3 linked regions of the Astyanax mexicanus genome follow. The protein of the gene in region 3 purifies or fractionates together with the protein of the main gene of each other region. This does not show direct contact. Links are inferred from orthologs where the notes say so. Each region holds a gene or a part of one and is shown on either strand. Other genes may lie near its edges.

Region 1 (7,826 bases), on a different chromosome or scaffold from region 3:
CTCTGGTATATTTTGGCACTGAAATAATCCTAGTCCCACCTGCCAGGTTGAGGTAATCCCACGTGGCGCCTTTGGGGCAGTTTTTCTTTATGTTGATGGCCCACTGATAGTCGCTCCAGCGCTCCTTCCATGCCTGTAGAATGGCCTGCTTCAGGTTCACCACTTTCATTCTGCAAAGATGTTAGGATTAGGATTAAAAGTTTTAGTCAGTCTTTGTCTCATTCTGGCATTCAACCGTGATAAAATAGATAAAATCAACCGTGTTTAATGTTATCGTAAATCTTGATACTTGGCTCACGCAAATAGTGACGTGAACAATATCAACAACCAATAGGAGAGCTACGGAAGAGGCAAAGCAATAATATTTTACGTAACTGTTTACAAACGACTTGAAAAAGAACACATTCTGCAGTTAAAATACCTTATATTGCTCTAACTTTAATATGTACAGTATTTTAAACACAGGAAGCACTTTAAAGTCATTATATTTACAGTTATTCCATTTTGCACTACTTTGCCTTATTGTGCAGTGTTATTTAATAAATACACATTTAGCAAGAATGATGTTTTGTATTACATTAAATCTATCTAAAACAAAGGAAAATGTAAAACAGGGAAACTGTGTTTCTTAAATATTCAAAGTTGTTGCAAAAAATAGGGGAAAAGAAGCTTATAAGCTTAAACACAAAACAAACACACTAACAGTGCGGCAAAAAAATAAACTTTTGATGGGGACAAAGGTTGTGGGTCTCTGATAACTCACAGTATTGATATACAGATTATTTTTAGATTAATATGTAGTATGTTTTGTATCTAAACTCCAGCAGAAGCATGATGGGAAATGATCTCAGAAACAATCTAGTTGCAGTCTTGTAAATAGTGATCCCCAGTCTTTGCAAAATCTTATCATGTGACTAAAAATCTGTAAAAAGTGAGAGACTTCTCTTTAAATGTGACAGGGTGTCAGACTATGATTTATTTATGTTTATTTTCAGAGTCTTTTCAAAAACTTGTACGTTAGTGTATAGACAGCATAAACAGTATTGTGGGAGTTCATAGTGCCCTCAAAATCACGTTCCAATTTCACTTTACGATTCGGACACGTTCTCAATAGTGACCTAAATGAGAAATATGGAGCATGTTAACGTTAGATATATACCGCTACGTAATAAAAGAAAAATCACACTAAGTAGGAAAATGACTTTCCAGAGTTTATTAATAAAATATCTTTCACACGCAGCGATACCTCAGTGTAATTCTCACTCTAAATACCCCACATTCAACGATACAGTTATTATAATAACATAAATAATCGCAGAACAGTGAGTGTCTCAACATCAACAAACAAACCCACCAACCAGAGGAGCACAGAGAAACACACACCGCGCGCATATATTAACGATTAAACTGATATCTAAACAGCCTTTTATTACCATTATTATCTTCATTATAGTATAAATATAGTACAAGGGTGATTTACCTGATTTTATTCTTTGACTGAAGATTAGATTTAATGTTGCTTTTCAATTCAATCGCTTACCACCGGCGCCATACTGGAAACAGTAACACGCGCTGTGATTGGTCCAGCGCGCTGAGTGTGCTCTAACGCGGTTGGTTGGCTGTGACCGAGCTCGATCAGCAGACAGATGAGCTTGGAATTCAAACTGTTTTTTATTGTTAATTTTTTACATTTTATTAATATATTTTTGTGCGTGCGGAAGGTATGTAGTGGTTTCGCTGAAAGAGACGTATTTTCCCAGGTATGTTCTCTTGATGTAAAAATTCCAAATTGCGCAAAACATCCGGGAATTCCTATTTATTTTTATGTCAATATCAGAGTGAGAGAGAGAGAGAGAGAGAGAGAGAGAGAGAGAGAGAGAGAGAGAGAGAGAGAGAGAGAGAGAGAGAGAAAGAAAGAAAGAAAGAAAGAGCGAGAGAGAGTTTATAATAATGTTGTCTTGAGGCAACAACAGAAAAACACTGTTTTAAAAAACGTAAATAAAAAAAGTCATTTAAAACTTCTAAATAGTTTATTACATATTGATGCATTAATACATATTTGTTTTAGCTATTTAAATGTAAACGTTATATCATATTTATCTTATCGATTGTTTGTGTCCCAAGTAGCTTTGGTTGCTAAAAAGATTATTCCACCTCCACGTAAACCAAATTCTTTAAATTAATCATAAAATCTCTCTCAAAAAGTTGATGTATTTCTTATACACAGCTATAGCCTGTCCTACAGGTCAGGAAGACACTATCTTTAGTGTGAGGCGAAAATGCGGTAAAGGAGAAATGCTGTGTGAACTGGAATTGGGGTGTAGTGAAACATAATAAGAAATACGAACTTTAGTCAAATAGCCCACCTTCGTTCACCCTCGGCATCCTGAAATACTGCGCTTTTAGCCGATGCTTCATTATCAATACCACATAATTGTGATAAAACCGACGTTCTTCTATTACGCCAAAAGCTGCTAAAAAGAAATGATCAGACTGTTAAATCTTGCCAACAAATCTTGGTGTTATCATAGATTCAGATCTAGCATTCGATAAACACATATCTAAGAACAGCTTTCTTGCATCTTTGTAACATTATCAGGCTAAACAATTCTTTATCTTAGCATGACACAGAAACATTAGTACATGCCTTCATTACATCAAGGCTAGACTATTGTTATGAGCTCATATCCTGTTATAAACCACCATGATTATTTAAATCACAGGGTGCTGGTTTACTAGTAGTTCCCAAAATTCAAAGGAGCTTTCGTTTATAAAGCACCCCAACCCCATCATTGTTGGTCTCAGTTTGCCTTCATTAAATATTTTAGGGGTCACCTGACTGTTGTTTGTTACAGCTATGTTTTTGTTTGTTTTATTATTAATTTATTTATTTAACTAAATAGGTTTAAAATTATCCAAATATCCCATAAATAATGTTAAAAGTGTAAAAAAAATAAGACCATTTCAAAACATACAAACTGTAGTTCCTCCTGTTTACCTTTCTAAAAAATAGGAGTTTCAGCCAGAGTGTCAGGCGCGAAGAACTGACCAATTCGAAAGAATGGCGGCAACTCAGTATGTTTTTCTGCCCGGCAGTATTGTGGCCTACTCTGTGATGGGAGCGCTCATGGCGAGTGGTAAAGAGGTGGTAGGCAGAATCCCATCTGAAAAGGTACAGTCAAAACTCCATAAACAAGTCTGTTTTAGGTTGTTGAACAAACCCAAATGCTTGTATGATGCCTGTTGCAGGCTATAAGCTTTCATTACCTCTTAACAACATTATTCTGATACATTCAGTCAATTTAAAACATAAAGAACAATCGTTATTCACTGACTGATAAAACCTACAGCACCTGCGGAAAATTTAGTTTATTTGACTCTTGGGTGACTCTTTCTTGAAGCTTAGAACTATTGGTAGATAAAAAATAAAACTTATAGTAATAATCAGCAGTTTGTTACAGAAGCTTATTGTTTGTGTGAATGTGATAAACAGATAAGATTCATCTTATAGCCTTGATGGCTTTAGTAAAACCACAAAAAGCTGAATGACATTCTTACTGAGCTGTGCTGAAAAGATTCTCTCATATTGCTGGCAAAAGTGAGTAAATTGGTTCTGTCATGATTTCTCGGTTACAAAATTATGATTTAGATCTAAGAATGAATCAGAAAAAGTAAGAATTATATGAACATATATGCAAATGTTTTTTTGTGTGTGTTTCTTTTAAAACCTTTTTGTGGCCACTTCACATTTATGTCCTAGCAATAATAGATCAGTAGAGTTTAAAGACATTGCTGATTTGATAAGAGTGTCCAGATATTACTGGTATTTTTGTTGAAGAGTTTTTCAACTTGTAACCAGATGTAGCTTTGTTGTTAGAATAGGATGGTTTTGGATTGTTTCCTTATTCTGAATCTGGTTCACAATGGTTATTTTAAAAAACGTCCTCATGCAGTGGGTCATTGGGGCCAATGTGACTGTTTAATGTACATATTTGCTGAAGCTAATACATAAACATTTAACAAACAATATACTAATTAGCTATCTCATTATTTAAATGCATGTTTATACGCTCACTAAATGTATCTTTAGTCATTTTTGTTATATTACTGTTGCTGGCTGTCCTCTTTACTGTCCATGTCCTCCTTTCTTTTCTCCTTTACTTTAGTTTGCCAAGCTGGTACCAGAACCTTCCATCTATAGCGGAGACATTCCAGTTTTCCAGAACCATGATTGAAGTCCTGAACACTGACTCTTCCACTCACTGTACCAAAATATCCTAATGAAGGTTCTTCCGGTTCTGAAATGGGCAGCTTCCACTTCCTCCCACCAAACAAGCTGGATTTCTGCTTATCCTGTCTTCCAGTTTTAAAACGCAGATCTTTTTCCCTTAAGGTCTTAAACTTTCTTTTATTTTCAGAGGGTCTTTACTAACGTTTCTATTTGACTAATAGGCCTATGCATTCGCCCTTTCCCAGCTGATGTCCGGAGATTAGTTAGTTTATAAAAATGACACAAACAAAGCACACTTAAAACTTATTAAAATTTAAATTTCTATTTATTTATTTCATGTTCATTAACATTTTGAGTGACAATCATACTTTAATTTGCAAGTATTAGGCAAAGATAGATAGAGCACAAGTCCCCCTCATGGTCTGCATATTGGTGTTTTTCCCAATTACACACTCCTTCAGGGGTTTGATAACTCTATAAGCTGGAAAACTTGGAAAAATGTGAAAACTTGATCCTGGATACCAGGAATTACTGATTGATTCCAAACTGTGTGAAAAGTTTCTAAAACTTTCTGCAAATGTTTATGTAAAGTACTAGGCAGTTTAGGGATATACAAAATGTTTTACGTAAATAATAGATCAGCTTGCAAAAATACAATCTTCATATGAAGTATGCCAAAGCTCTCCTGTAATAGTTATACTATATTTTACATAAAATAATAGCTTTAAAATAATATAATAAAGTCATGTTGGTTCAACAAAATGCATTTGTGGTGGATGGAGAAGAGCTGACTTCAGAAACTTCCAGTCTGGCCAGACAGGGGACATGAGAGCCTGAGGGTCCAAGATCCATCGGTATTGGGTCAGACAGGTGGGCAGTCAGTAACTCGGAGGAAGGCAGAAAGATGGAATTAGTTTTGACTGGATTTATGTAAAACAGAGAATATAAAACATTATCAGAGTGTGGCTAATGTCTCCGGCAGATCTAGAAAGTAACATAGACATGGAGGCATGAATTTTAGGAACTACTAAGAAACCAGCACCCTGAGATCTAAGTAATCGCAGTGGTTCATAATAGGAGATGAGGTCTCGCAAATACTCAGGAGTGAGCCCGTGTAGGGCTTTATACGTTAACAGGAGAATTTTATCGTCCATGCGGAATTTGACTGGAAGCCAGTGCAGTGATGATTGGACTAGATTAATATGCTTACATTTTCTAGTTTTAGTTAGGACCCTGGCTGCAGCATTTTGAACTAGCTGAAGTTTATTTAAGTTACTGCAGGAACATCCAGACAGTAGCGCATTACAATAATCTAGCCTTGAGGTAATAAAGACATGTACTAATGTTTCTGCGTCATGCAGTGATAGGGCATTTCTTAGCTTGGCAATATTACGGAGGTGTAGAAAAGCTGTTCTAGCAACATTAAATATGTTGTTTATCGAATGCTAGATCTGAATCTATAATAACTCCAAGGTTTTTAGCTGCTGAACCAGGTGTGATGGAGAAGTCGGCCAGATTTAGCATTAAGTCTGATCATTTATTTCTAGCAGCTTTGGGCATATTAGGAGAACTTCTGTTTTATCACTATTTAATAGGAGGAAGTTGTGCGACATCCATGATTTTCTTTAATCTCACTCTGTCATCAGGTTTGGCTGAAATGAAGAGCTGCGTTTCATCCGCATAACAATGAAAATTTAAGGTAAGAGCAAAGTAGTTGGGCCACAGCTTTTTCTAAAATCTTAGAAATAAACAGTAAGTTTGAAATAGGTCTATAGTTAGACAGTACACTAGGATCAAGATTTGGTTTCTTGATCAGAGGTTTAATTACAGCTATTTTAAAGGCTTTGGGTACATGGCCTAGGGTGAGCGATGAGTTTACTATTATTAACAGAGGTTTAATTATATCTGGTAGTACCTGTTTTAGTAATTTTGTGGGAACTGCATCAAGTGTGCAGGTTGAGCTGTTTGAAGAGGAGATGATTTTCTCTAGTTCTAGCTGTGGAATGGGTTAAAGGCTTCCAACCTAACTTCCGTAACAGGGTTTTGTTCTAGATCAGCCGCATCAGATGACAGAGAGAAAGTGCTGTTTATCTGTTTAATTTTATCCCGATGTTTTCAATTTTACTATCGAAGAAGTCCATAAAAGCGTTGCTGGTGTGAATGGCTGGGGTCTGAGGTTCAGTACCTGTCTGTTTTTTAGTTAATTTGGAAATAACACTAAAGAGAGCTCTAGGATTATATTAGCTCTATGGTTTTATTAAGTTCTTTTCTATATTTAACAAGACGGTCTTTCCACGCAGAGTGAAAATATTCTCTAAATTTCGTACTAACTGCTTTGACGTACGAGTTTGATCATTGTACCACGGTGCGAGCTTTTTCTGTCTCTCTATTTTATGTTTAAGGGATGTACGTATATTATGACTAAGATGCTATTTAAATGAAATAAGGTAATGATCTGAAATTGCGGAGGTTTGAGAACGAATGTTCAGGTGTATCCAGCTAAGCAGCGGAGCGCGTTTATACCTCGTATCCGCGGCTCTGCTTCGCTCTGCAGTTTAAACTTCTACAGATTCTACAGTAGTAATTATCTTCCACGCAGTCTGGCTGTATTTATAAATAATTGATCTAGTGTTCGTGTTTGAAGCTCTTTCTGAAATGAACAGAGGAGCTTTATTTATTTAGTTAGTTAGTTTAACAAGGTATATCTGGATATCTATCTTAATTTATTATGTTTACAAACCACAGAGCAAACCGTGGTTAAAGTGAGGATTTCTACACCGTTTAAGTGATATTACATGGCCACAGTGGTGAGGTAAATGCCCTCTTTCAGCTGTTTAACCCTGCGTTCACACTGGAAAGCGACAAAGCGACAGGCGACCATTCATTTCCTATGGCAGGGCGCGATTTGTCGCCGCGACACGCGAGAGGCGACAAGCGACAAAGCGACAGAGCGACAAGCGACACGGAGATGAATTTTTCTCAACTTTATGCAAATGAGTTATGACGCGGTGAAGCGACATTCTAACCCGATTGGCTCCTAGCTTTTCTTTGGACCAATCACAAACAAGGCGGTTCGACGTCCTCAAGCTCCTGCTCTCTGAATTTCTAGTTTCTTTCCCGGTTCTTTCTGTTGAACGGGGTGGACCCACATCAGTCTGTGGGAACGGCTGCGTTTCCAGCGCAGTTAAATCACAGAAACGCACAAGAGTCCAGCAAGTTTGGGAGTTATAGCTGGAGAATAAAGTGGCCAAGTGATTCCTTTTTTGTGCCTTTTTTCTTGTTGGAGGCTGGACCATGATAAACGCGGGCGTTGAGCTTGACACGCCCACAAGCGACAAACGCTGGGCGACACAAGCGACTCGTCGCGTTCCAGTGTGAACGCAGGGTTACACTCACCTACTCGAGAGGAGCAGCGGAGGGGGCTGTGACTCGCGTTGAGCGGCTCTGAGCCGTGAGGCGCTACCTGTCACGTGATCTTCGGAGCGTGATGTGATTGGCTGGTTGTTGGCTCGATTGAAGACTGAATCGATTGCTCATCCTGTGTGTCCCGGATGTTGACAGCGAATTTTGAGCGTTGTATTTTAGCAGTCGAATT
Region 2 (6,980 bases), on a different chromosome or scaffold from region 3:
TCTGTATTTTTAATTTACAACCAATTACAGATGTCAGACCAAAAAAGCTTACTATAATAACATTTAACAAATAAATGTTCTATTGATTATCTCTCTCCAGAGAAAATAGTGCAGGGGCTCATCTGAAATTTGAATATATATATTAGGTCATTAACTGGGTACACTGCTGTTACAATTTTAGCTTTGGGAGTAATAGGACATGATGAATAAAAACAAAAAGCTTGTCGTTTCATATATTCTCCCGTGAATAGCATGAGTTAAAGTCATCAAAAATACATTGTTTAAACAACTTACTTATTAGTCTAATTAGTATTTTTTTTAATCCAAAAGGTTGATATCACCAACCTTTATAGTAGAAAAGGAAGGTGCAACAGGGAAGGATTTAATACTATTTTGAACCAGCTGAAGTAAGGGAATAGGAACTGCTTTACAAATGTATCATACCCCTTGCTGGAGACAATTTTATACATTTCAGTACATTTTTCCATGGATAAAATGACCACCTGAATTTGATATGTTGAGAACAAAAGTTGTCGGCTCTAATGCTGCCGTATTACGACTTTATTCTCAAATTATTACGACTTTATTCTCCTAATATTAGACTTTACTCTTGCAGTGAACTGTTTTGATGCCCTAATGTCTTTTGTTGCTGTGTTTTCCAGTGCAGTGGGCGGAGCTAAGGTAAACTACCACGGTAAAGTTAGTTTCATTTTTGATATTCGACTTTTCGGCTCTAATAACTTCTGAACGGAGGATGGTAGCCAGCAGATACTTACATAATCAGGACAGTACGACCACAGAGAGTGACGCACACCCTTCCTTTTACTGTTTGGGTGAAATTTGCGCAACGCCCTTTTAGCGTTAATACCGAAAAACTAAGCGCACTTTTCCTGTCAGAATAAAATGCATGTACTTCTAGACCACCTCTACTTCTGTACACACTCATTTATTTACCTCCAAATCACTTCAGTGCATAAAAATGCCTATTAATGTTCCCACATAAGAATAGATGGCTTTAAGAAAAAAAAACACCAATAGCTCCATATCCTTAGGGTTCATACACATCAGAATAACGGGGATGTATACTTTGAGTCATGAGGAAAATTGCACACCCATTAATATTATGCAAAATGCTCTAATTTTTTATTATATTTTATATATTCACAAATTCAATAGCATTTCAGCAACTGTGTATGTCACAGCTAGGTGGCAGCAGACACGCACACCATTTATATTTTGGATACAGTGCCAATTCTAGTGAATATTACATTTTATATATTTGAAAAATCAATAGAATTTAAACCGAATTACACAGAACACTAAAAATAAGTGTGTATGATACAGCTAGGTGTCAGGAAACACAAACAATCTTTGAAATTTGGATACATTGCCAATTCTACTAATTATTAAATTATATACATTTTAAAATGTAATAGCTTTCAAACCGAATTACACAGAACAATAAAAACAAGTGTGTATGATACAGCTAGGTGGCAACAAACACACACACGCTTTATATTTATGATACACTGCCAATTCTACGAATGATTAAATTTTATATATTTTAAAATGTAGTAGCTTTCAAACCAAATCACACAGAATAATAAAAACAAGTGTGTATGATACAGCTAGGTGGCAGCAGACACACACACCATTTATATTTTGGATACAGTGCCAATTCTAGTGAATATTACATTTTATATATTTTAAAATTCAATAGCTTTTACACCAAATCACACAGAACAATAAAAACTAGTGTGTATGATACAGCTAGGTGGCAACAAACACACACACACACTTTAAAATTTGGATACATTGCCAATTCTATTAATTATTAAATTTTATATATTTTAAAATGCAATAGCTTTCAAACCGAATTACACAGAACAATAAAAACAAGTGTGTATGATACAGCTAGGTGGAAACAAACACACACACACTCTTTAAAATTTGGATACATTGCCAATTCTATTAATTATTAAATTTTATATATTTTAAAATTCAATAGCTTTACACCAAATCACACAGAACAATAAAACTAGTGTGTATGATACAGCTAGCTGTAGCATACACACTTGTTTTTATTATTCTGTGTAATTGAGTTTAAAAGCTATTGAATTTTAAAATATATATATAATTTAATAATATGTAGAATTGGCACTGTATCATAAATATAAAGCATGTGTGTTTGTTGCCACCTAACTCTATCATACACACTTATTTTTAGTGTTCTGTGTAATTCGGTTTAAATTCTATTGATTTTTTAAATATATAAAATGTGATATTCACTAGAATTGGCACTGTATCCAAAATATAAATGGTGTGTGTGTCTGCTGCCACCTAGCTGTATCATACACACTTGTTTTTATTATTCTGTGTGATTCGGTTTGAAAGCTACTACATTTTAAAATATATAAAATTTAATAATTCGTAGAATTGGCAGTGTATCATAAATATAAAGCATGTGTGTGTTTGTTGCCACCTAACTCTATCATACACACTTGTTTTTATTGTTCTGTGTAATTCGGTTTGAAAGCTATTACATTTTAAAATGTATATAATTTAATAATTAGTAGAATTGGCAATGTATCCAAATTTCAAAGATTGCGTGTGTTTCCTGACACCTAGCTGTATCATACTTATTTTTAGTGTTCTGTGTAATTCGGTTTAAATTCTATTGATTTTTTAAATATATAAAATGTAATATTCACTAGAATTGGCACTGTATCCAAAATATAAATGATGTGCGTGTCTGCTGCCACCTAGCTGTGACATACACAGTTGCTGAAATGCTATTGAATTTGTGAATATATAAAATATAATAAAAATTTTGAGCATTTTGCATAATATTAATGGGTGTGCAATTTTCCTCATGACTCAAAGTATACATCCCCGTTATTCTGATGTGTATGAACCCTAAGGATATGGAGCTATTGGTGTTTTTTTTTTTCTTAAAGCCATCTATTCTTATGTGGGAACATTAATAGGCATTTTTATGCACTGAAGTGATTTGGAGGTAAATAAATGAGTGTGTACAGAAGTAGAGGTGGTCTAGAAGTACATGCATTTTATTCTGACAGGAAAAGTGCGCTTAGTTTTTCGGTATTAACGCTAAAAGGGCGTTGCGCAAATTTCACCCAAACAGTAAAAGGAAGGGTGTGCGTCACTCTCTGTGGTCGTACTGTCCTGATTATGTAAGTATCTGCTGGCTACCATCCTCCGTTCAGAAGTTATTAGAGCCGAAAAGTCGAATATCAAAAATGAAACTAACTTTACCGTGGTTCAAAAACTGTGCAACAAAACATGATATATCTTTAAAAAATATATATCTTTTGTAATATAAGATATCTTTGTAATGGACGCAGGGTCTGAAAGGGTTACATTTACAATGTAGAAAATTACAAAAAAAGAAAGAAAGACTTTTGACTGGTACTATAGTTTACTATAGGTATACTAGTAAACTATTTTTGTGGTGTTCTGTCGAGTTGTGCTACCTTGTCAAACCTTGCTACCATAGTAGTATTTAAGGTAAAAAAAAGCACCAAATTAAACCATACTAGAGAATACTCCCAGCTGATAGGTAGGATAGATAGGTAGGATAGCTGATAGGTAGGATAGACGTGGTAGGCTAAATCACTGTATCAGGCAGGGTTAAAAAATAAAGTAATTTACGTGATTAGAACCCTATTTTTTTGTTTTATAGCTTATGATTATTTTTTTACTTACCGTTAATATTTTTTTACTGCTATTAAAAGTTTTAAAACATTAAATCAAGTTGTTTAATACTCCCAATAAAAACGTAATGAATTACATTACAAAAAAAATGAAAAATGTCCGTAAAAAAAGCACATATCTATGGATAGCATAACTCGACACAACACCCGGCTTTTAAACCTTCCGATTTAAATCCATATCAGGGTCTTTTAATTTGCCGGGTGTTTTCCCACAGTTCCGCTGGCTGTTGATTGGAGCGGGGCAGGGAGCGGAGCGTCGCTGGCTGTAAGCCGCTGTCGGGTATCGCTCGGTCGGATCGGGGACGGACGGACTCGGCCCGGGCTGCTATGCGGCTGGGACCATGGCGGCCTTCGGGATGTTGAGTTACGAGCACCGGCCCCTGAAGCGACCCAGACTCGGCCCTCCCGACGTTTATCCCCAGGACCCGAAGCAGAAAGAGGTCAGAGCCCGTCTTTACACACAGAGTCAGTCCACAAAGAGCCGGAGCGCTAGCCGGAGAGCTACGCTAACCTAGCTAACCGAGCACCACCAAACCCCCGGGCCTTCAGCAGCGCCCGCTAACCCGCAACAATACCGGCCTAACCGGGCTAAACCCGACCCGCCCGGTCCGCCACAGAGCCCGGCAGCAGGCTGAGATATAGCCCTGCCTGTGTAGCAGCGCTGTGTTCACTTTATATAAATAAAAACACGAACTGGACAATAATAAACTGCTCAGAAACAGAGCTGCTAACTTACTGCAATCCTGAGCGTTTTCCTACTCAACCCCCATCCAAATAAAATACCGAGGAAAAGAGATTAATATAAGGAGATTTGGGTGTTTCAGAAACGGCTAAAGTGCTTAAAATTATTAGGAAATTGACGTTAAAAACGAAATTTAATTCTGTGTCAGTTAACGCTGGCTGAGCTATCTGGGTTAGCTCGTTAGCTGAAATCTGTCGGCTGCTGTTTGTTGACAAGTCGTATCTAGGTTAGCTAACAGCTAGCTAACAGTAACTTGCTCACTGGCTATCTAACATAATTGATCTAATTTACACAAAGCTAAGCTAACATGCTTATATTATGTTTTTATATCGAAAACAACCGTAAACACAACGTTATATAAATCATATAATCCAAAGTTAGCACGCAGAGTGTGCAGTGGTAATATAACATTCCAGCAGGAACACCAAAAAATGCAAGTTGGTCTCGTTAAGTTTCCGTTTGTCTTCACTATATCCAGTGCTTCTAATTTGGCACTGTGCTGCTAAGCCTAAATGTTTGGTTAACCTAGACAAGTTTGCATTTTATTGGTGCAGCTTGAATCTCTAGGAGACCATCTTTAATGTGTCTGATTATCACATTAAAATCATGTCCAATTCATTCCTATATCTCGTATTCTTAAAGCCTATTGTGCCATTTTACAGAGATGGAGATGTAGCTAGCTAAGAAACAATACAGAAAATAAACATAGCGTTATATATATATCATATAATCCAAAATAATCCAAAGTAATAACTCACTACAGTTTAGAAATATACAACAAAATACAGTTATACAATCCCAGCAGGAATACCAACAAATGCAATTTGATCTCAGTAAGTTTTTATTTGTTTATTTATTCAATACTTCAAATTCGGCACTTTGCTGCTGAGCCTAAATGTTGGGTTGAGTTTCCATTTTTGGAGATCTTTGCCAGTGTTCTATTGGTGTGCAGATTGAATGGGTCTGATTATCACATTAAAAGTCAAGTCCATTTGATTCCTTTACCGGTCTTATAGCCTAACTAATGTGCACAGAGCAACAGAGATTTAGATTTAGGAAAAAAGAAGTGAAAGAAAAGAAACCTATAAAGCATAAGTGTTATAACATTTATTATTTTTAGTTTTATTTTTAAATTTTACATTTTTTTTAACTGAACTCTTTTTAATTCTATGTATTTTTTTATTGTCATTTTTTCCTTAATGTAATACTTGTTAACAGATTGTGATTGTTAAGTGTCAGAGGTGTTGCTCTCACCAAGTCAAGTTTGATCTTGTTCAGTTTCTGTTTTTTTGGAGATATGTGCTGGTGGTCTGTTGGTGTGCAGCTTTGAAGTGTCTGTGTGATCATGTATCTAACTAGCTTCTTGACTAACTGGATAATTATATAGGTTATATTACATTTATTATTTCAAACCATTTGTGTAGTTATGCAGTACTTCTTATCTGGCATTGTGCTGCGTGCTGAGGGTTAAATGTGCAAAACTTTTGAACATGCATTCATGCTGGTGGTGTGTTGATGCTTTAGTGCATCCATTAAGTTAATAGTTAAGTCTATTTTATTTACTGAGATTCAGATGTTGACAAACAATATTTTAAATGTGTTATCCAGAGTAAACAACCCAAAATGAGCAGTGGTAATGAACAACTCCCTTCAAGATGCATAAACACTAGGAATGCTGCGAAATTATTTATTTTGCATGTAACTGAACATAATGGAAACATGATCAAATAAAATGTTGTTTCAAAAATATTTATTGAACACTGAACAGTTTTGACATGTCATATTAAATTGACTTGTGTGATCAGATAGGTCTATGCATTGGTAATAAATACCCATCTAAAATCATTATCGAACATGAAAGACACTATAGACATTTTAGGTTAGTTTGTCTAATTGTGTGTATGACTAATGTGTTTGTTGACAAGTTGTGGCTACCTGACTACCTTTTTGCCTACTGTGCTATACTACACTACTGGTATTATTACTATTATTTGACACACAGTATGTTTGTTCATGCAGTACTACTAAATTTAAGGGCTTCTGAATGCAAATACTGTGTTAAATATGCTTATTTTTTGGAAATACATGACAGTGGTCTGTTGGTATGCATCTTGAATAATTGTATACCCTCACAATCTTAAGTGTGACTGTGGTGTCACTCTGAAAGTCAAATATTTTTTTTTGTAAAGCTCCTTTTGCAATTTAATATTCCTATGAAGTGGCTTCTCAGAGATTCACGTTTAAAACGACAGAATGAAGACCAAATGTGGAAGTGGTTAGGAATAGCTCCCTAAAAACTGCATAAATACCAAGACATTTTAGACCCATTATACATGTTTTATACGACAAAACGTTTTAAGATCTGTAGGTGGTCTGGATTGGAGTCTGGAAGACCATCCTGAGAGTCTTTCATGCTTACCTTGTTTGTTCCAGAGTTTTCAGTTTGGTTTGAAAGCAGATGTGAAAGGGGCTGCGAACCACAGTCCAGACCAAAGGACCAGAGT
Region 3 (7,106 bases):
GTTGTCATTTTAGTCATCGCATACATTTGATCCGAAAGCCTGAAACATCTAGAAACGTGTTTTCACAATGTAGACGATCCACCTTTTCTGGACTGGTCCTTTGGTTGTTCACACCTGATATTTTTGTTTGGACCAAACTGAGAAGTCCAAAAGCCCAGGCCAAACAGGGCAAGTGTGAAAGCACTTTAAGGTCACTTTAAGAAGGACCAAACTGTGATTGCCAGATGATTTGGTCAGAACATCTCCAAAACAGCAGGTAGACCTTGTGGATTGTTGCCAGCAGGAAGTGGTCAGCACCTACCATATGTGCTCTAAGGAAGGACAATCAGTGAACCAAGGACTAAAAAGAGATCCTGCTAATGTTAGTCTTTGTGCTAAACACCTTGGTGCAGAACACCTACAGAGGTCTTGTACAGTGAATGCTCTTATGGGTCAGACATGTTTTTAGAGGAATGATGGGGGGCCTACACAATATTAAACAGGTGCTTTTAATTATATGACCAATTGATGTATATCAGAATCATTGGAATTTTCAGATTTTGATATGTCTGAATGTTTGTAAACACTGTTTCTAAATAATGCATCCTTTGCCGTCACAGCAAATGCAGACACAGTCTAGTCCATGTAAAGAACTACTGCCAATGGAATAGGACTGTTTATCTGGAGCCGATAAAAATGAACCTGTTGGCATCATGTCATATCATGTCAAGTGTGAGCTCATCTCCATATAGTACTTTAAGGATGAGGTGGGGAGCTGTGGATGGAGTAGACTGGTGATCATCCAACCTCAGGTCAATACTGCTCTTGCTGCTGAATGCACTCCAAAATTTAGTAGATAGCTTTCCCTGCACAGTAGAGACAATTACTCCAAAAAACGCTAAATTTAATTTTAGAAGAAACAATAAAGTAGCAGGTGTCCCAATACTTTTGTCCATATAGTGCATTTACATGAAATATAGCAGATAACTTTATCAGCCTTAGACATCTCAGTGTATGTATTATTATTTTTAGATGTTTAATATGATGATATTTAAACAGAAACTAGCTGTCTGTTTAAATAACATAAATCTGAGAGTCTAAGAGAGAGAAAAGAACATCTTCAGAGGGGGTTTACAATTAATGGGCTTCTAATGTTAGTTTTTAAAATGTTGCATTTATTTGGAATCTGCTTTGTACACATTATGGTTATAATTAGTTAAGTAACATGTAATTACTATCTGAGTTTCATTTAACTAGGTTTATGTTACACTAGTGTCATCACCAGAATGGCTGTGTGGTTAGTAGGTACATCTCTGACAGTAGATACACCTTCCCTGCACAAAAGAGAGAATGTTACTTCAGCAAAAGCTAGAATAACTCTTTTAAATACCCATGATTTTGGAAGAAACAATAAATAATTGAATGCTTGATTCAATATAATGTGTTTTCTTGAGTATGTGTATTGGACACTCTAAAACTGTACAAAAGAGGTTTTCAAACTTTTCCACATCACGACCCACCTGTGTAAAAAGCATAACTACCCACAAGATAACAAAACAAAAGCTTTTTGACAATCTCTCTATAGATGTTCTGAACAGGTCATCTAGCCATCACAGCTCAGTCCTTCTTAAAGTGACTTGCCAGTTTGGTCCAAACAAAAATAGCAGATTTAAGGAACCAAAGGACCCGCAAAAAAGGTAGTCTTGGTCCAGATCTACTAAACCATGGCCCAGTTCATCTTGAATTGTAAATCTTTTTGAACCTCTCTACAAGGGTTTGGTAGGTCACCCCTGAACTAGACAGTATTATGATCCATTTAGCTATTCCAGTGAATACTGAATGACAGCATCTGGACACATCAGTAGTTATAACATGTTCTAACACTGCTGCTGAGTTTAGACTTCTAACAGTAACAATGAAACTTCTCTCTCCAGCCTGTAGTTATATTACAATCAGATAATTCCTGACTAAGGCGCTGTCACTATGATCAGGAGATTGCTGGTTCGAATCCTGTTTATGCAGCTTGCTATCGGCTACCGGAGCCCTGAGAGAGCACAACTGACCTTGCTCTCTCTGGGTGGGTATTTGCACTTTCTCCCCACATCACTTCAAGGGGTGATGTCCGCAGCACAAGGCGTCTTTGAGATGATGTATCGGACAAAAATAGAAATAAAATTTAAAAATTAAAAAATCAGATAATTCCGGTCACACTTTAAAGACGTTAAGTCCTGCTTTTGACACCAAGACTGGTGCTTTTTCTTATTTCTTACTAAAGCAGCTCGAGTATTGCACATTTAGACAAGTGATAACTCAAAGCCTGAGCCTGAGACTGTCCAATAAGAGCGAGGCAGGGATCACTCCTATTGGACAGCCTTGTGAGGCATGAATGCTCCAACTCCAGAGTAAAACCCTGCGTTGTAAAACAGCTTCACGTGCAGAGAGACAGTCATCCCCTCTGAGCTGTAGTGTATTTCACTTCACGTTCACACTGTAAAATAAACAGCAGCAGCGCGGTGTCGTTCTGGGGGGAGGACCGTTTTGTGTGTGTGTGTTTATAGATGTGCGTGCGCGCGCGCGTGTGTGTGTATAAAAACAAAACCAGTCCCAGACTCGAGCTCGGTTTCTTACACCCCCCACCACACACACACACACACTCGCCTCCGCGCTTCTCCTCGCGAAGGAGAAAGTGCGCGTGGAGCGGAGAAATGAGTGAAAGCAGGCCGTTTTAGCTCGCTGTCTTACCCGTCTTTGCGCTTGGCTTTATAAACATGCCCGTAGGTGCCGCGACCCACTTTGCAACCTTCATATTCGAACAGATCCTCCACTCTCTCCCTCTCCGCGGCGAGCTTCGTTTTGAAGTCGTAGTCCATCGCGACCCATAAATACTTCTTAATTTAGGATAAAATAAAATATTAATTATTACGTGCATTAATTAAATAATCTGATCGCTTTATTCCCCCACCATTTCCTTGTTTGGGATTTTGGTCTGCTCCGCTTAATGTTCACTGGCTCGTTGAGCGTTTTTTTGCTGGTGCGAAACGCTTTCTGGGAAATGTAGTCTTCCCGCAGCAGGAGGCCCGCCGAGCGCCGTGAGATCAGCGCGCTGCGGGAACTACAATCCGCACAGCACGCCGCGGTGATCGCACTTGCGTAGTCATGTTCGCGCTCTCAGAAAAAAAAAACATTGCAGGGACGGGAGAGAATTCATATTGCATATCGTATGTTTTATTTGTTTTTTTGCTCACATGCGCCGAACCCTTAAACTGAGACAATAAAACTAAGACAATGGAATGGAAACCATTCCCTATAATGCTATTTAATGTGATAAAAAAAACTGTTCAGCCACTCTTTGCAGTAAAACTACACAAAAGACTGTATTTATATATGACTGTCATAACATTATAAATAAGAATTTTCGAGTTTACCCAGGGGAATTATATTGCGCATTTTTTGTAAATAAAAAATGCCTTTTCTGGATTTACATTCCCTTTTTTCTGTGTCTACGTGAAAAACAGTCTTGTGTTTGTGTTTTAAACTGTCCTTTTACTCTTATCAACGCTGCTTGCCTTTTTTATGCGTCTGCATCACTCGAAATGATTCCCATGATTCTTTTGTAGGATATGCGCAGTATTTATGTGTGTGTAATATAACCTAAGGTTAGGACAATACAAAAATACCTTTAATACTTTTTAAGCTAGAATTGGACTGCTAAAATTGTGCCGTATTAATTGAAGTACGTTAAAATCAACTGAATCGGTTCTTTTGAGTGGACTGTTTTGTTGAATCGGTTAACTACTTCACTGAATCAAACTTCTTCACTGCGCTGTCAGAACTGCAGCCCGCCTTGAGAAGACGCCTTTACGCAACGCTTGTCCTCGGAGTGGCAGAAACCTTGGCCAATCCTATGCGGGCTAAGGGCGGGACTTTATGTATGATTGGTCTGTCTTATTTTTTACGTCAGCGGCTAGGTTATAAAAGCTCCGCGCACCCAGTAGTCCGCGCTTACACAGTATGGCCGGCGATATTAGCTAGCACTCGCTCACGGTGTTCTCTGTAAAAGGGGAAGACGGTAAAAATCATTTAAAGCATCCCAAGAAATCAACACCCGGACTGCTCAAGGACTGTACCAAGATCTCTATAAGTTATCTACCCAGCAAAAAGGACTTTAATAAGCTAGACCCGAGCTAGGTTTATTTTTTTTTATTTTTTTTTCTGTTGTTGGTGTCTTGTTTGTCTCACGATGGAGGACAACGGTGCACACTTCTTTGAGGGGACCGAGAAGCTGCTGGAGGTGTGGTTCTCCCGGCAGGACGAGACCAAAGGAACCGGGGACCTCCGCACCATCCCGAGGTTTGGGGGCGAATTCTCTAAAGCGAGATGTGTGGATGAAGCTAGATAACCAGATAGATCTGTGGGTTAGCTGAGGAGCTGGGTTAATGCTCTAGGCTTTGGCACGCGTGTCAGTCAGCTCATATAAAATAGACATAAAACTGAACAGTATGATTCTGTTAAAAGGTTGGTTTGGTGATTTAGATGATCAGATAGCTGGCTAACTTGTGCGTATCTCTCTGTGTCTCTCTGCTGTGGCTCAGTATGGCAGCGTCCCTCCCCCTCCCTCCAGTCAGTCAGTCAGTCACTCATTCATTTGTGCTGCAGTAACGACGGAGCAAATAGCTCCAGCCCTGATCAGCTCAGCCTCGCTTTAATCAGCGCTCTGATCTGATCACTGATACCCTAAACTACTAAAGAGTAGTCTGTGCTGGTTTTATAACTATCTTCTTATAACTATCTTCAATGACAATGAAAAAAAAATGTTAGCTAAGCTCGCTACGGCTCTCATTTCACTACGCAGTTCTATCCGAACCTCCCCTTTAACACGGGTTTGGCCTTATTTATCCTAATTTAATTACAAAATTCTAAATGTAAAAAAATGCCAGATCAACGTACATAGCTAAGTTTGTCTAGCTACCCTGGAAATTGTGCGGTTGCTAGGTTAGTTAGCTAGCGACAAGCTAACGCTAATACAGTATGGCGCGAGCCATTAGCGTTAGCCACCAGGCTAACTAGCTGCTCTGTTTGCACTGACGTAGCTAAGCTAAGCGAGCTAACCTAACCTGCACCCAATACTCTTAACAGGCAGCATAACTACAACACATGCTCCATTTGTCTCTCTAGAGGTTTATCATCAGAAAAATAACGCAGAGGAGTTTTATATTTAGAGGGGTGAAGAGGTGCTGCGCTCCATAATCTGTGTTGAGTGAAACGTGGGCCCTGTGGAGCATGTGGTGGTGGTGGTGGCGCCCTGCTGCCTCGGCTGAAGCCCCCCCAGTTTTAGTCTCAAATGACAGACTCTGACACTCAGATATTAACTCAGACATGTTAAAACATGTAATAAAGAACATTTAGGTATTTTATGTCGTTTTTTACTAGAAGCGACTCTATTACAGAGATAAGCTATGGAATGTTAAACATTAAAAATTAGCTAGTAATTTAATTCTGACTAGGCATGTTCTACCATCCGTTTCGAACTAAAATTTCACTCTTTTAGTAGTTAGAAGAGAAGTTACAATTATATGTAATTACTCATTGGCTGGTAAGAGTTGTAATTCCAGATATCTCCACTGTAGGTAAATTCTGTCTGGTAAAAAAGTCCAGGTTCACATATTTGTAAATTTATTCTGACTAGAACAAATGCTAATTCAAAATATATATAATGTTTTGGCTAGAACTGTATTTCAGATATGTGTTTAAATCTCTATAATATAAATAGATAAATATGTACTAATTAAAAAATTTACTTGTACTATAATAAATTTAATGTTATTGATGTTAAAATCTATAGTTTTGCTATTTCAGACAGAGTGCAATTTCATGCAAGTTAATTGTAACATATGACCAGTCAAATTTACACTCGGGGTATGTCATCTTGGCAAAATGGCTACTCAGAATGGCCTCAGATCTGGAGACCTGATGTTACTGCTAAAAAAAATAGCAGATAAAACTTGCAATAAAGACGTATGCAATTTAAGGTTTTACCAGTAAAAAATGAATTACAACTAGCACAATACAAAAGCAAAACAGACGCATAAAAAGTGACAAACATTACGTAGCAAAAGATAATCTGAAATGTATTACAGAGAGTTAAAGAAGTGCTGGGGTGAAAAAGAACTGGAGAGACACTGCCGCAGTGCCAACCTGTCACACAGACGATTTACAGCACCTGCAGTAGCCTGGCTAATACCCAAGAGTTGAGAGAATGCTTTCCAAATGAATGAAACTCACCTTAAAATGAGTGTTAAAACTGTAAGACGGATCTCAAAATGTGTGTTAATGTCATATATTGCTCATAGAGCTTCTAATCATTTCAGTACAAATAGTGTATAGTCATATAGAGCCACGATCAAGGCTCAACCGACCTGAATGTTTGTCGAGTTATATTCTTTACCCTTTGTAAATGTCTGTTTGGGGTTAAATTGAAAAATATGTTTAAAAAATGTTTTTTATACAATGATAAAACATCTGAATCTTAAAATGTGCATTTGCAGTGTGCAATGTCATTTCACACAGAAGTGAAGTATGTAACATTAGGTGCTTACAAAATAGTTTCTCAGAAGGAGCTTTAAAGAAAGTCAGTTTCACAGAATAATATGATTGAGCAAGCTTGAGTTTTTCTTTGATCTAGGTTAACTTAGCTTTACTTGTTTGTCTTTATATTTTTAGCTTTATCTGCTTTTTCCAGTGGTTCCTGACTGCTTGTTTTTAGACTCTAGTGTTTTCTGTTCTGTCAAAGCCTTTATTCAGTGTAACAAGTTTTCCTTGAGGCTAAAATTATGTTTTGATTGGTGTAGAGACTAAATATTGTGCAGTGTGTAACTGCTCTAGGACCAGGGTTTGGAAATACAATGCACTGCGCCATGTGGAAGTCACGTTTTTCCCCTTGTGCCGAGCAAACTCCTCCTTGTGGCCTGATTGGAGGAGCGTGACCTCCAGCTGTGCTCTGACCTCTAAAGACCTGCCCCCTATTCAACAGCATGAAATGTGGTTGTAGGCATGGAGGTGCTGATTCATCTTGTAACGAGCGGAGTTTAGCTGCTGTGGTTCTTGCTGAAATTAGTTTTTGAAATTAG

What was found. Proteins that work in one complex are often made in the same cells at the same time.
Region 1: the proteins of cdk19 (region 3) and med24 purify together in Homo sapiens (affinity purification with mass spectrometry; 6 studies listed by BioGRID and IntAct, counting the BioPlex papers as one, with this or other methods). This does not show direct contact. The link is inferred for Astyanax mexicanus from reciprocal best matches to the Homo sapiens genes CDK19 and MED24.
Region 2: the proteins of cdk19 (region 3) and med12 purify together in Homo sapiens (affinity purification with mass spectrometry; 10 studies listed by BioGRID and IntAct, counting the BioPlex papers as one, with this or other methods). This does not show direct contact. The link is inferred for Astyanax mexicanus from reciprocal best matches to the Homo sapiens genes CDK19 and MED12.

What each region holds. Positions count from the first base shown.
Region 1 is NC_064422.1:21,445,751-21,453,576, forward strand, and holds the start of med24 (mediator of RNA polymerase II transcription subunit 24), read right to left. Parts: upstream 3,020-7,826; 5' UTR 2,999-3,019; intron 1,639-2,998; exon of another isoform or gene 1,481-1,638; intron 171-1,480; 5' UTR 170-170; coding exon 40-169; intron 1-39. UniProt on the Homo sapiens protein: Component of the Mediator complex, a coactivator involved in the regulated transcription of nearly all RNA polymerase II-dependent genes.
Region 2 is NC_064409.1:69,523,133-69,530,112, forward strand, and holds the start of med12 (mediator of RNA polymerase II transcription subunit 12), read left to right. Parts: upstream 1-3,961; 5' UTR 3,962-4,075; coding exon 4,076-4,174; intron 4,175-6,980. UniProt on the Homo sapiens protein: Component of the Mediator complex, a coactivator involved in the regulated transcription of nearly all RNA polymerase II-dependent genes.
Region 3 is NC_064408.1:47,104,182-47,111,287, forward strand, and holds the start of cdk19 (cyclin-dependent kinase 19), read right to left. Parts: upstream 3,003-7,106; 5' UTR 2,850-3,002; coding exon 2,722-2,849; intron 1-2,721. Other genes in the region: amd1 (S-adenosylmethionine decarboxylase proenzyme), read left to right, coding at 4,220-4,329.